Tribolium castaneum: one gene and its partner. The protein of the gene in region 1 interacts with the protein of each later gene in a pairwise test. Links are inferred from orthologs where the notes say so. Each region holds a gene or a part of one and is shown in the gene's direction. Other genes may lie near its edges. The genes, in order: proteasome subunit alpha type-7-1 and trafficking protein particle complex subunit 13.

Evidence for each region.
Region 2: the proteins of proteasome subunit alpha type-7-1 (region 1) and trafficking protein particle complex subunit 13 interact in a two-hybrid assay, tested with the Caenorhabditis elegans proteins (3 studies listed by BioGRID). The link is inferred for Tribolium castaneum from reciprocal best matches to the Caenorhabditis elegans genes pas-4 and C56C10.7.

What each region holds. Positions count from the first base shown.
Region 1 is NC_087398.1:3,892,526-3,895,434, reverse strand, and holds proteasome subunit alpha type-7-1, read left to right. Parts: upstream 1-1,307; 5' UTR 1,308-1,401; coding exon 1,402-1,503; intron 1,504-1,552; coding exon 1,553-2,200; 3' UTR 2,201-2,258; downstream 2,259-2,909. Other genes in the region: cGMP-dependent protein kinase, isozyme 1, read left to right, coding at 1-1,102. UniProt on the Caenorhabditis elegans protein: The proteasome is a multicatalytic proteinase complex which is characterized by its ability to cleave peptides with Arg, Phe, Tyr, Leu, and Glu adjacent to the leaving group at neutral or slightly basic pH.
Region 2 is NC_087396.1:20,515,760-20,519,862, reverse strand, and holds trafficking protein particle complex subunit 13, read left to right. Parts: upstream 1-1,525; 5' UTR 1,526-1,651; coding exon 1,652-1,685; intron 1,686-1,732; coding exon 1,733-2,111; intron 2,112-2,163; coding exon 2,164-2,378; intron 2,379-2,463; coding exon 2,464-2,690; intron 2,691-2,899; coding exon 2,900-3,000; intron 3,001-3,073; coding exon 3,074-3,332; 3' UTR 3,333-3,369; downstream 3,370-4,103. Other genes in the region: PIG-O (GPI ethanolamine phosphate transferase 3), read right to left, coding at 1-320, 427-707, 756-1,304; TTLL12 (tubulin--tyrosine ligase-like protein 12), read right to left, coding at 3,376-4,103.

The sequences.
Region 1 (2,909 bases):
GACGGAATGCCTGATTTTGGCCCGGCGCGAGTTTATCGCCCACTTCGGGAACATCCCTGATTGTTTCAGCATCAACGTCCAGACGCAGCCTTACAAGCCCATGGAGGAGATAATCGAACACACGGACCTGAATTTGTCCGATTTTCACGTTATTAGCACGTTAGGGATCGGGGGTTTTGGCCGAGTTGAGTTAGTGCAACACTCGGGCAAAAAAGAACTCGTTTTCGCCCTTAAATGTATGAAGAAATACGTAATTGCGGCCCAGAAACACCAAGAGCTCGTTTTCAACGAGAAGAACATTCAAATCGTTTGCAAAAACAATTTTATCGTGCGCCTGTACCGCACTTATCGGGACAAAAAATTCCTCTATTTTTTGCTAGAGCCGTGTCTGGGGGGCGACTTGTGGACGCACCTCTACAAGCAAAAACCCCGCTTTTTGGACGAAAACCACGCCAAGTTTTACACCGCGTGCGTGGTGGAGGCCTTTAATTACCTCCACGAACGTCTGATTATTTACCGCGACCTCAAACCCGAAAATTTGCTCATCGATGCCAAAGGTTACGTGAAATTGACCGACTTCGGCTTCGCCAAAAAATTAAAAATGATTAAAAAATGCGTCAAAAAAACCTACACGTTTGCGGGAACCCCCGAATACGTCCCGCCCGAAATCATGCTCAATCAAGGCCACGACAAGGCTGTGGATTACTGGGCCCTTGGAGTGTTCGTTTTTGAGCTTTTGACGGGTAAAACCCCCTTCCGGACCGACGATGTCACGTACATGAAGACCTACAAGTTGATTCTGAAGGGGATAGATGATGTCGAGTTTCCGAAACACGTGTCGGTCGAAGCTGTTAAGTTGGTCAAAGAGTTGTGCAAGTCGACGCCGCCCCAAAGACTGGGCTGTGGGAGCGGCGGCATTTTGGACGTGAAAGGGCACGAGTGGTTTGGGGGCTTCGACTGGGGGCGGTTTGAAGGGGGCAAAATGCCCGCCCCTTTCAGACCCAATTTAAGGACGAACATTGACGTGCACTACTTCGAGAAGTTTGGGGCCGACGAGGACGTGCCCCCCGATGTGGCCGTAGACTGGGATAAAGAGTTTTAGAATTTGAATTTCCCGGTTTGGGTAATTCATAGACGACTGTGTTTTTCGAGTCGGTGCCCACGCTTTGAAACCTTTATTTGCGATTATTAATTTACCAAACTCATTTATTTACTAGCATCAGTTAATTAGTTAATTAATAAAGACAATAATATGCAATTTTCCCGATCATTTGCACATCCCAGGCTAGTAACGGACTGGGCGACTGTAATTTTCGTGCCGGGCCGTCAAACGTCAATTTTCTCGCAGTTACAAAGCAAAATATTATTTAAGGTTAGTCGTTTGAAAGTTATTTAAAAGCGATGTCTGCGAGGTACGACCGTGCTATCACTGTATTTTCCCCCGACGGCCACCTCCTCCAAGTGGAGTACGCGCAAGAGGCCGTCCGTAAAGGCTCAACTGCGGTAAGTGCCCCTAACCTCAACCCCCATGACCCAGCGTTTGCGTTCCCAGGTGGGCGTCCGCGGGGCGAAGGCCGTGGTCCTCGGTGTGGAGAAAAAGTCCGTCGCCAAGCTCCAAGAAGAGCGAACCGTTCGCAAAATCTGCCTTTTGGACGACCACGTCGTCATGGCTTTCGCCGGCTTGACCGCCGACGCTCGCATTCTGATAAACCGGGCGCAGATCGAGTGCCAGTCGCACAAATTGACGGTGGAGGACCCCGTCACGCTGGAGTACATCACCAGGTATATCGCGGGTTTGAAGCAGAAATACACGCAGAGTAACGGGCGGAGGCCGTTTGGGATCTCGTGTCTGATCGGCGGGTTTGACTACGACGGGAAGCCCCATTTGTATCAGACGGAGCCGTCCGGGATTTACTACGAGTGGAAGGCGAACGCCACGGGGCGAAGCGCCAAGACCGTGAGGGAGTTTTTGGAGAAGTACTACACCCCTGAAGAGGTGGCGGAGGAGAGAGGCACGGTCAAGTTGGCCATTAGGGCGCTGCTGGAGGTGGTGCAGTCGGGACAGAAGAATTTGGAAATTGCGGTTATGAGACATGGGGAGCCTTTGGTGATGCTGGATAGTGACACGATTGAAAAGTACGTAACGGAAATTGAGAAGGAGAAAGAGGAAGAGGCGGAGAAGAAAAAACAGAAGAAATAGACTTTTTTAATTACTTATTGTGGTTCATAAACTTTTTCAATAAATTTTTTTCGCTAAATTGAGTTTATTTAACCAACCAAAGCCATGACGCAGGTGATTATTTGAATGACAAGGTGAATCGTAATTAATAAAATCTAAAGTTCTTCAAACACAATACACTATTAAAGTGTTCATGTTCAGGAGGAGATTATTTTTGAATCAGAAATTATAGTCAAGATGAAATAAAGCCGGTCAATCTCTAGAAGTTTATTTTTAAATAAATGTTAAATAATCTTGTACAAAAAAGGTACATAAATCTCTCTACGAATTCCTTATGACAAAGAACTCATAAAACAAGAATCACTAGAATGCACTCAAATTCCATCTAAAACGAATGAAAAAATGAAATGTTGATGAGAGAAACCGAATCGCGTCGTGTTGTTTATATGGTGCGATGTCATAAGAATATTAAGTATACATATTGAAACAATACACAAGTGCAAACACATAATATCATAATTATTACACAGCATTCAAGTTTTATTACATTTATAAGTTATAATAATTGGCACTGTCTCTCGAAACATGCACACGAAATCAGTCGTCCTCGTGACCCCTATATACATAACTCTACAACATAAGACGTTCTAGTGAGCTGAAAAATTATCAAAAATGTCCAGTAATATATTATATTATGGCAACATGGTACGCAGGTGCTATATCAAAACGA
Region 2 (4,103 bases), on another chromosome or scaffold:
CATTTGCCCATAGGTGGAAGAGGGACCATTGCCATTCGGGCACTTGTGAGTTGTTGAGGAGCGGAAGGGCGTCCAGGATTACCGTTCCGAGGTTTGAGAACGGGATCGAAACGCCGAAAATTGAGGCAAGGGTTGGGACAAGGCTGACTTGGCGGACGGTGGCGGAGGCGTGGAGGGAGGAGAGTTGGGTGTGGGAGTACACGAAGAGGGCTGAGGTGACTTCGTCGTCGGCGTCGCCCCCGTGGTTGCCGGTTTCGGTCATTCCGTGGTCGCCGATCACGAACAGCATTGTGCTGGGGTCTAGTCGCTCCACAATGCTCCTGGAAACAAAAGTTGGGTGAATAAATGCAAAAAAAAGCGAGTTAGGAAAAGTAAAAACTAGGTAAAATATTTCTTTTGTGATCATTTTTTGTGGTACAAACTTACGCAATCACGGTGTTCATTTCTGTCAATTTGCGCTCCATCTCCGAATGGTTGGGGCCGTAGCGATGGCCACAGTGGTCCACCCCCAAGTAATGTGCGATCAGAAAACTCCAATCATTTTTTGCCAATTCGGGGTAAAGGTGGAAATTGACTCCGTCGTCAACTGTGTCCAAATCCCAGACATCGAAAGAGGGATAGGGGTATTTCCTGAGAAATCTGTTAGGGTAGAGGCCGTCCCAAGTGTCGTCGCCGATCAAGACCGTGCTCAAGTTGTGCCTCAACAACTGAAACTCTCCTGTGATTTTAAACAATTATTGAAAATAGTTACAAACTTGGTCAATGATATTATCCTCGTTGATTTCATTCGTGGCAAAATTGGAGCCGGCGTCGATAAAAGTTGGAAGACTTCCCGTCGTTAGAGCTTTCAGTCTTTGCATTGTGGTGGTCGGGGGGTCCGCTATGAACTTATACAGCCGCGAATTGTCCGGTTGTTGCTTCAGCAACTCGTTTATAACCGGCAGCTTGTTTTGGAACGGCAGAGGGTTTTTTAAATTCTCGTCATAGAGTGCAAAGTCGTACCGCAGAGCGTCGATTATCACGAAGACAACGCGCGCTCTTTGGGGCAAGCAAATATCCGAAGCGCTGTTTATGTTTTGAAAAACATAGGATAGTTTGGTGTCGGCACTGCATTGCTGTTCGTGGGCACTTAAAGTCGTCGATTCCTTGTGAATGCACGGGATCTCGGACAGGGAGAGGCAAGTGGAGTTGGTTGTTTGGGCATTTTTGGAGAGGAGGAATCCGCGCGAAAAGAGCAAAATTGACGAGACTATCAAGTACGAGAACCATAGCATGAACAAGAAATAGCACCAGTGTTTGCCCATTGTGCACAAGTCATTTAGAAAAGTCTCGTTTGGTTTAATTTATAATTTTATCACTAACCCAACTTTTGAAATGTCACACTCCCATTGGGCGCTTTAACTACTCACTCCCTTTGGTCTACTCTCATTAACTATGACCAAATGGGAATGACCAAAAGTTTGGCCTCACACGGCAAATTTGTAAAATTGTACCATATTTTACGAAAATACGAATTTCTAAGGCAAACAAATTAATTCAAAAAATTAGGTCCGAACCACCGTAGACCTTATTCTATGACCGTAGACCGTTCACACCAACTTGTCAGACTGACGTTTAACCAAACAAATAACCTCCCCTAATTTTGCTAAAAATGGAGCCAGAGGAGCACTTACTGGCTTTGAAAGGTGCAAATGAGAGTTACCAAATTTTTGGTTAATATCTGCGGTTTTAGTTATGCGTCTTACGCGCCCCACTCTGGCCACTCCTCTGCCAGTGACTTGCGACAGCAAGGACTTGCCCGGTAATTTGCTAAATGTTGCCCTTCAGCAGGACGCTGCGTCGGTTAAAGGCACCGAAACGTTGTCTATAGGCCAATTTTTGCTGCTACCTCAAAGTCCAGTTAATATTTATTTAGGCGAAACGTTTTCTAGCTACATTTGTGTGTACAATGAGACTCAACACATTGTTAGTAATGTTAGTGTTAAAGTGGACTTGCAGACCACTTCTCAGCGATTGCCTTTATCCTCGAATCCTCCAACCCCTCAACTGACCCCTGATGACACTGTTAATATTGTTATCCATCATGAGGTCAAAGAAATTGGAAATCACATGTAAAGTCGCATTTATTTGTGCAATCTTTCACTACGAGTGGTTGAATTGTAGTTTGGTGTGTGAAGTGTCTTATCAGAACGCAGTAGGAATTCTTAAATCGTTCAGGAAATTTTTCAAAATTCAAGTACTTAAGCCGCTTGACGTCAAAACGAAGTTCTACAATGCGGAAAACGACGATGTTTATTTGGAGGCCCAGGTGCAGAACATCACCACAGGCCCCATATGTTTGGAAAAGGTGGCCTTGGACGCGTCCCACCTCTTTAAAGGTTCATTTTTTAATTGTGATAAGCAACCTATGTTTGTGAAATTACGTTGCCAACTTATTTAAGAGCACATTTGTTATTTTTGCAGTTACGTCCTTGAATGTGACACCAACAGGTGAGAGCATTTTTGGCAAAACAACCCTTTTAAACCCTCAAGCTGTTTGCCAATTTTTGTACTGCCTATCACCCAATGAAAAATTGTCTTCCGATTTGAAGAGTTTAAGTGGGGCCACAAACATTGGCAAGTTGGATATAGTGTGGAGGTCGAATTTGGGCGAAAGGGGCAGGTTGCAGACAAGTCAGCTTCAAAGAATGGTAAGTTTTTTTCAAAACTTGCCACATAATTTAAATGTAATGATTTATTTAAAATTCAGATTGAAAATTCTTCAAATACTTTAGGCAAAGTTAAGCAAATGCTATTGAAAATATTCTTTGAATAATTGTTTTGCTGTTTTGTGTTCGTAAGTGCTTAAACGTTTTCCAAATTGACTGGCGTGAAAAACTGCACTAACGAATTTTTTCAGGGACCTGATTATGGTGATATAAGATTATCGATTACCGAATTACCTAATTTCGTAGTCTTGGAAGAGTTGTTTGCGTTCAAATGCCGGCTGGTTAATAATTGGTAAATATAAAGTGCTTTCATTAATTTGTCAGCAACGTGAGCTATGATTTTAAAATTGTTTTTGGCATTTTAGCGAAAGAAGTGTTGAGTTAATGATGTATTTGGATAACTCAGATGGCTTGGCTTGGTGTGGCATTTCTGGCCGTAAGTTAGAAGTGTTGCCACCACACTCCACCCGAGTTTTAGAATTTAAAGCAATCCCCCTTATTCCGGGCCTGCGAACCCTTTCCGGGATCAAATTAGTCGACACGTTCCTCAAAAGAACTTACAACTACGACGATCTAGGTCAAGTCTTTGTGATAGTTAATGATAATGTTGGAAAAAGTATTTAATAAGTTTATTTAAAATAAATTGTTTCTTTAACAAAAATAGACTTTACAATTCGATAAACGCATCGGACGTTTCATCCAAAAACAGCAGCTTGAAAATATCGTTATAAAAGCCGGGATAATACTGACATGCCCGTTGGCAGTCTGGAGTCCAGTTAATTTCCAGCAATTTGGGCTGGATGTCCCGGGACTCCCCCCATTCCAGCATCAAATCAGCGGCGTACAAAGCCCGCGATTGCGGACTGTGGGCCACCCCACAAGGGGGCTCGTCCTTAACAGCCCCCTCTAACACGTTCCTAAGAACCCCCAAAATTAATTTTTGCACACTGTCCCAATCAAAATTCGGATATTGTTGCTCCCAAAAAATGCGAAATTCGGAACACAACATGTGCTTAAGCTGGACGTTTTCGTCGTAGTTCATCACAGTGAAGTGTTTTTCAAAGTCGTGAAAGTCCTTCAGTTCGAACGATTTGTTCGCAAAACGTACGAAAAACTCCCTGTAAACGTACGCTTTCAGCGGTTTCACACTTTTGAGCAGAATCACGTAACGAATGTCGAACTTAACAGGGCCGCATTCAGGCCGTTCGAACAGGACCGGGTTACTGATGTACTTCTGAGCGATTTTGGGCCCCGTTGCCGGGAGCCGCATGATGTAGTTGAGATTATCGGTGATGTGGATGTCCAGACTTCGGGCCAAATTGTACGGTTTGATGATCCAGAAATTTTCCCGGTTTTTGTGTTTTTGGAAGTAACTCACAAAATGACCGATTTCGG